Linked DNA regions of Rattus norvegicus. The protein of the gene in region 1 purifies or fractionates together with the protein of each later gene. This does not show direct contact. Links are inferred from orthologs where the notes say so. Each region holds a gene or a part of one and is shown in the gene's direction. Other genes may lie near its edges.

Region 1 (3,612 bases):
TGATGCTGGTCTCTTCTAAATCACTGCTAATGTCTCAGCTTCAGCGAACCAGCATCGATTATCCCAGCAAAGCAAAGGTGGTTCTGGAGTTTTGTTAACCACAGCTGACTCAAGCCTCAGCTGAGCTTCACTCAGAATGTGCATTGGCCCAAATAAAGTTCTTGACACTCAGAACTGCAGAAGCCGGGCCTCCACCCCCTATATCTCTACCTTCCGCACGCCCACAGAATACCTCACCAAGCTTTAAACTCTCAGTGGCTTTTCTAGACCAAAGTTCCAAAGTCCTTCCACAGTCCTCCCCAAAGCAGCATAGTTCTGTCCGTCACACAGTACCTCACTATCTCGCTGCCAACTTAGGCTAACTAGAGCTTCTACTGCTATGATAAAACCCCATGACCAAAAGCAGGATTTATTGGGGAGGAAAGGATTTATTTGGCTTATGCTTCTATATCATGATCCATCAGAGAAGGAAGTCATAGATGGCTGGGTGTCTGTTTCTTCCGTCTGACGTCCGAGACATGGATAGTAATGGCATCCTCTTTCCTAAAAGCAACTGTGTTGCCATGGATTGGGACAAAGATGGTGACATCCTGGCGGTGATTGCTGAGAAGTCCAGCTGCATCTATCTATGGGACGCCAACACAAATAAAACCAGCCAGCTGGACAACGGCATGAGGTGAGGACACCTTCGCTTACTAAGTGGTGATCTTAGCGCTTCTGTCATTTTGTATCATTTTATTAATGTCAGTAATTGCACTTTTATTGGGATGTATATATATGGATACACACACACACATAATGGTATTTTAACAGATGCATGCATTGTGTACTGGTCACATCAGTGTAATTAGCAATTCCCAACTTTGTAGTTATTTTTAAATCACTGAGCAATGTTACTGTTTGCTGTCTTCCAATTATTTTTGAAGTTTGCACTGAGAAATGTGACTCTCTGTCCTTTTACTGCTGAAAGTGTTTACTGTTCTGATTTTGGAGACACAATGATGAATCCTCCTCCCCTTTTTTTTTGAAGTTGTCTTTTTGGTGTTTTGTTTCATTTTGAGACAGGATCTCATGATGTAGCCCTAGCTGTCCTGGAACTCACTATATAAACTAGGCTGGCTTAGAACTCACAGAGATCTGCCTGCCTCTGCCTCCTAAGAGCTGGGATTAAAGGCATTTGTGTGCCACCATGCCTGGCCATGAGTTCTTGTTATTGTCTTGCTTTGCTTTGGTTGTGGGTTTTTTGACACAAGATCTTACATAGCCCAAGCTGACCTGGAGTTCATTGTGTAGGTAAGGATGACTGAACTCTAATCCTCTTGGCCCTGCCTCCTAAGTGCTGGGATTACAAACCTACACCTGTATTAATTTTCTTATGAAAGAAAAACCCTATTTCTTTTATGGTTGTTGTGTGTAATCCTCCCATTAATTAGAATAAAGATGATTTGGCCACTCATGGTGGCACATACCCTTGATCCCCCAGGAGCAGGCAGATCTCTATGAATTCGAAGCCAGCCTAGTCTACATAGCAAGTGCGAGGACACACAGGACTACATAGAGAAACCCTGTCTTAAAAAATAAAAACAAAAGAATAAAGATGTTATGACTGTGAAATAGCTTCTTTTTATTAGTTAGTTAATGTATTTACTTTACATCCCAATTGCAGCTTTGCCCCCTCTCCTCCCAGTCCCTCCCTCTCACTCACCTCTCCCACCCCACCCCTCCCTTTCTCCTCTGAGAAGGGGAGCCCTCCCATGGATATCAAACTGCCTTGGCATATCAGATTGCAGTAGGACTAGTGCATCTTCTTTTATTGAGGCTAAACAAGGCAGCAGTTAGAGGAAAGGGATCCAAAGGTAGACAGCAGAGTCACAAACAGCTCCTGCTCCTTCTGTTAGGGGTTCCACGTGAAGATAAAGTTGTACATCTGGGGGCTGGGGATTTAGCTCAGTGGTAGAGCGCTTACGTAGGAAGCACAAGGCCCTGGGTTCGGTCCCCAGCTCCGAAAAAAAGAACCAAAAAAAAAAAAAAAAAGTTGTACATCTGTTGATATGTTCAGGGGGCCTATGTCCATCCCATGCATGCACTCTGGTGGGTGGTTCAGTCCCAGTGACGCCCTACAAGCCGTTACTTGATTAGGTTAGTTGATTCTGTAGATTTTTTTGTGTGTGTGTCTTTGTCCTCTCTGGCTCCTTCAATCTTTTCTCCCTCTCTTCCACAAAGTCCCTTGAGCTCCACTTACTGTTTGGCCGTGGGTCTCTGCATCTGTTTCTATTGCCTGCCGGGTGAAGCCTTTCAGATGACAGTTATGCTAGGCTCCTGTCTGCAGTTATAGCAGAATATCATTAATAGCGTCAGGTGTGGGGTGTTCTCTCTCTCTTGGCATGGGTCTCAAGATGGACCAGTCATTGGTTGGCCATTCCCTCATTTCTGCTCCTCTTTATTCCTCCCCATCTTGTAGGCAGGACAAATTGTGAATCGAAGGTTTTTATGGTTGGGTTGGTGTCCCCTCCCTCATTGGAAGTCTTACTAATTACAGGAGGGGCTGTTTAAGGTTCCATATCTCCATTGCTAGGAGTCTTAGCTAGGGTCAACTTCATAGATTTTTGGGAGTTTCCACTGTCATAGGTTTCTAGTTCATCCCAGAGATGCCTCCCACTGATTCCAGTTCCTTCCCCAGTTTTCTCTCTCTCTCCATCCTCACTACACTTCTTTGGATCTGTGGATTGTAACATGGTTATCCTGTGCTTTATGACTAATGTTCACTTATAAGTGAGTACATACCATGTTTGTCCTTCTGGGTCTGGTTTATCTCACTCAGGGTGATCTTTTTTAGTTCTATCCATTTGCCTGCAAATTTCATGATGTCACTGTTTTTAATAGCTAAGTAATATCCATTGTGTAAATGTATCACATTTTCCTTATCTATTCTTTGGGTAAAGGACATCTAGATTGTTTCCAGTTTCTGGCTACTATGAATAAAGCTATTATGAACATAGTAGAGCAAGTATCCTTGTGGTATGATGGAGCATCTTTTGGGTATATGCCCGGAGTGATATAACTGAGTCTTGAAGTGGAACTATCCTCATTTTCTGAGAAACCACCAACTTGATTTTCAAATGGCTATACAAGTTTGCACTCCAGCCAGCAATGGGGGAGTGTTCCCCTTGCTCCATATCCTCACCAGCATGTGCTGTCACTTGAGTTTTTGATCTTAGCCATTTTGATGGGTTTAAGATGACTCTCAAAAGTTGTTATGATTTGTATTTCCCTGATGATGAAGGATGTTGAACATTTCTTTAAGTGATTCCTGGCCATTAGAGCGTCCTCTGTTGAGAATTCTATGTTTAACTCTATACCCCATTTTTAATTTAGGTTTTTGGGGGTCTTGAGGTCTAATTTCTTGAGTTCTTTATATATTTTGGATATCAGTCTTCTGTCAGATGTAGGGCTGGTGAAGATCTTTTCCCATGCTATAGGCTGCCATTTTGTCCTATTGACAGTGTCCTTTGTTTTACAGAAGCTTTTCAGTTTCTTGAGGTCCCATTTATTAATTGTCGATCTTAGTGCCTGAGCCATTGGTGTTCTGTTCAGGAAGTTGTGTCCTGTGCC
Region 2 (4,276 bases), on another chromosome or scaffold:
GAGTCCGGGTAGAAGTGGGCGGGAGTTTACAAGAAGTTGAAAAATTCAAACATTAATCCCTTCTTGCACAGTTGGTGCCAAGGAAGAAGGAACAAGGGAATAGTTGGTGCCTATATTGAAGCTGGCTTAGATTTTTGGCACTGATTGTTCTGTCTGATTAAAATCTAACAAAATATTCTCACCGAGAAGCCAGTAAGGATCTCAGAAGGAAACTGAGGTCAAGCAAGGCTGGGCTGAGAAATCAATTCTTCCAACTCGCAGGCCGGCGTCATTGGGCATGAAAATGCTTGGCCTTGCTCAGTAAAAGGGGCACTGAAACCTTGAGTTGAATGTCACTTGCTGGGTACTTCAGCAATGCTTGTCATTAAGCTTTAGGTGCAGCCCTCCCAGTGCTTCTTGAACTGTGGAGATCCACATTCCATTTTCTGTGAGTCCTAGTGAGCAGTGCCAAGAACTGGCCGGAGATGTTGACTTAGGGATTTTATGTAGAATGAATCAATGAAGACTCAACATGACTACCCCCTAGGCTGTCTGTGGGCTATCTCCTGCAGGCCTAGGAGGATGGCTGGGAACCACTACGTGCTGGAAGTCACTGCAGTAACATGTGGTGTTACAAAGGCTGTCCCGGCACTTGGGACTGGAGTCATTTTCCTCTGTCTGTCTGTCTTGCTGGTAAGATGAGTCATTGCTACCCACTTTGTGGGGTTGTTCAGATTAAGTTAGAACCCCAATATTATACCCTCTTTTCTATTTCTATTGAAATGGAGTCTCACTGTGTTGCCAAGACTGGAGTCCCATTCCTAGTCATAAGTAGTCCATTGGCTTCATCCTCCTAAGTAACAAGCTGGGATTATGGCCCCTGTCACATCGAACTAATTTTTCTTGCCTCTAACACCCAAGTTCTGGAATTACAGGCGTGCATCACCATGTATGACTGCTTTCAATAAACCTCTTGAAGGCAGAAATCACACACACTGATTTTTTGCAAGTCATTGTAAATGTGTAAACTATTTATTACATTGGTGCTCATCCATCAAATGGAAATAACACCGCACGTCTATCCTTGAACAGTAACTCTGAAGGCCTCTGTCAATTGTGAATGTGAGGGCTCAGAATAATCACTGAGAGCAGTGCTTCCACTCACAACCGTGTTTAATCAGAGTTACGAATCTAGGCAGTCCCCAGGGCTAACCTCTCTGCAGCAACCTTAGAGAGGATCTTGCTAGTTGGCGATTTGTTTTGTTTTCTCCGAAGTCCAGCAAAGTTAGTGTAGGAAAGATCTGGTTTCAATTGGAAGGTGACACACAGGACCTAGGAATTGTGAGGCGGACTCTTTAAGGACTGGGATGGAAGGGCGGGGTCGTTGTTAGGGACGCGGCGGAGACGGCTGTTTCCAGGAAGTGACATCAGCGGCCGCGGTGATGGACGATTTACTGGATCTGGGAGAGGAGAAACGTCGCAGCTCGGCCACCTCCGTGAGGAGCGATGCTGGGGGCTGGGGTCCGGTTTGGCGGGTGGGACAAGTGGCCCGGCTCTCTGAGAAGCCCAGAGTCGGGACAGACCCTGGCCCAATTGCCCGAGTGCGAATTCCACCTTAACGGAGGGTCTGACCCCGCTCCGACCACGCCCGCTCCCGCCCTGGAGTTTTCTCTAGGGCAGTCTAGTCCCGGAAGTTCTGAAAGAGACTGAGAAGAGAGCTGGCTGGAGATGTCCTTTCCTCATGCTCTCTAATCTCTGCTCCCCCTCCAGGATTGGAAATCAATACTCCATTTTATTATGTGTAGGGGGTTGGGGATGGGGAGAGTAACTAGGTGACAGATCTGTTGATGGACCAGAATACACCTAGCCTCGACTTCCATGCTAGTGTTGCTGTGCAGATGAAATGGGGCGATTCATGGAAAGCATTTGCAGCAGTTCGTTGACCTTCCTGTTGTTTCCTCCCAGCCTATGACCGGCGTTTAGCCAGCAAATAACAGAACTTGATTAAAGACCCACATTCAGTGTTTTCTTACTGTCACAGTTCCCCCACCAGGTCTCGGTGCCCACCAGGTCTCGGTGCCCACCAGGTCTGGATAGCCTTTAGAGTTGGTTGAAACCACTGAAGAATTGGGCCGCCTGTCAAGTCCTTAGTTTCTGATGTAAAATCTCAGGTGCCCCGAAGGGCCTTGGTACCATCTTATGCCCTCCAAGGTTCTAGAGAGGCACCTATTGGAGGGAGATAAAGGGGCAGAAGTTAATAGAGCAGGGTTTTTAAAAAGCTACGGGCATTAGGCCACCAAGTCTTTCTGATACACGAACCTTTTTGGTACCTGGGATGTGAATGTAGTGACTATTTCATTCTTTCCACAAATATGTAGTGAGCCCTGCTGTGGATCAGGCGCTGTTCTGGGCACTGGAGAGATAGATAGCAGAGAACAGACCACCGGCCTTTGCTCTAGTTGAGGGGGAGAAGGATAAGGGGGAAAAGACAATAAAAAGTCTGCCCTTAAAATACATGACCTCAGGTTTTCTATGTGTGAATTTTACAGGGTCTTCAAATAGTCTCAAACATTAACGGCTGATAGAGAAATCGCTTGTCAAGGACGTTTACAGACAGGATCATTTTTGTTCAGGGTAACTACTGTAGAATCAGATACTTGGACAAACAAAAGAGGGTATCTTTCTAGAGAAAGATATGAACTGTATCATCAGAAAAATTATTCCCGTCACCCTTGAAACTTCAAAAGATCGGCCTTGTAACTTGAAGAGTTGATGGTTGCAATTGGATGGCCAGATTCCACTTTAGTGATTTCTGTCTGTTTAATGTGGTTCTCCGGAAACCCTAGTCTCCCTTCTTAGAACACTTAGCACCAGGTTTTCAGTGGGGTGCTCTGGGGATGTGGGACGAACATAGGATTTAAATTCGAACATTACTTAATCACCGTCCTGGCTTCCATCGGTCTCAGTCTTTGTCCATAGCATCTTGAGACTGGAGCACAGCCCCGGCAATGAGACCTGAAGATGTTATGCTGGTGCTGGTTTTGTTTTGTTTTAAATGATTGCACAGATACTCTTCAGCACCCATCAGTGTGCCTCAGAGTTTCCTTTTGTTCTGGGGAGTGTTGGCAACAGAGGCCCGACCCACTTGGAGGGCCTGGGGACACCTGCAAATGTTTCGTCTGTTGACTCAGAATCCTGAGGTGCTCACTTATAGCTGCCAAGGCTGCTGTCTCAGCATTCCTGTGGTAGAGCTCCCTCCATGCCTGTAGATGCAGATCTAACCAGCAGAGCAAGAGGTGTCTGGATTACTAGGCTGCCATAGAATTGAGGAACTCTCTCTTAAAGCCTGTTAGCTGCCTCAAGTCTAGGAACGTGGGAGCCTTTACCACCTGCTCTGGGCTATATGACTTGAGGTCACTGCCCAGGCTAGCTGCATTTCTGTTTGTCATCGACAGAACAGGACAGAACAGTGACTTTGTTTTTGCAGTAACTGTGGCTGTTGAAAATCTCACGATCAATAACCTGTATGTTTCCTATTCTACCAAGTAGATCTAACTTGGGTACTTTCTCATAAAGGTTTAGAGAATTCTCTATGAATATTTCCACTTGATATATTCATATATCATACACACACACACACACACACACACACACACACACACACACACACACACACGTTACTCAGATCCTGTTCTCTGCTATCCCGTAAAAGCCCAGTCCTGGCTTACTGTATGTCATACCCACAGGGCCTCAGGTGACACTGGGTCAGCTGTACTCTCCGTCTCTCCTTTCAGGGGGCCAAGATGGGACGCCGAGCTCAACAGGAGTCGACTCAGGCTGAGAATTATCTCAACAGCAAGAATTCTTCATTGACTCAGACCGGAGAGGTGAGTGTTACAGAGATGTGAAACAGGAAGTCGTGGATACATGCATGCTCTTCAGGAATAAACAAACCCTTAGCGAGCAGGGCTGTGGCATCCTATATTTGTTTGGAACGCCAGTCTTTCCATGCATGTGTCTCGACTTGGATGTTCTCTTTGAGGACATTTTTCCTACTGGGAACATCTTTCCTTTGAGGCTATACTGGCTTCTGGACTTTTTTTTTTTTTCATATTCATAGTATCCAATTTTTTTTTTAAGGACAGGGTCTCAGGTGACTGGTGTGGAACTCACTGAGTAGCTGAGGATGACCTTGAATTACTGAATCTCCTGCCTCTACCTCATGAGTATTTGCTCTGTCGTTTGTAGGTACTAGGTTCAGGCTTGGGGCTTTGTGCGTGCCAGGCAAGCACTCTAT

The links. Proteins that work in one complex are often made in the same cells at the same time.
Region 2: the proteins of Wdr19 (region 1) and Ift43 purify together in Homo sapiens (affinity purification with mass spectrometry; 3 studies listed by BioGRID and IntAct, counting the BioPlex papers as one, with this or other methods). This does not show direct contact. The link is inferred for Rattus norvegicus from reciprocal best matches to the Homo sapiens genes WDR19 and IFT43.

What each region holds. Positions count from the first base shown.
Region 1 is NC_086032.1:43,449,871-43,453,482, reverse strand, and holds part of Wdr19 (WD repeat-containing protein 19), read left to right. Parts: intron 1-550; coding exon 551-676; intron 677-3,612. UniProt on the Homo sapiens protein: As component of the IFT complex A (IFT-A), a complex required for retrograde ciliary transport and entry into cilia of G protein-coupled receptors (GPCRs), it is involved in cilia function and/or assembly.
Region 2 is NC_086024.1:111,459,361-111,463,636, forward strand, and holds the start of Ift43 (intraflagellar transport protein 43 homolog), read left to right. Parts: upstream 1-1,390; 5' UTR 1,391-1,421; coding exon 1,422-1,475; exon of another isoform or gene 1,476-1,485; coding exon of another isoform or gene 1,486-1,500; intron 1,501-3,773; coding exon 3,774-3,866; intron 3,867-4,276. UniProt on the Homo sapiens protein: As a component of IFT complex A (IFT-A), a complex required for retrograde ciliary transport and entry into cilia of G protein-coupled receptors (GPCRs), it is involved in ciliogenesis.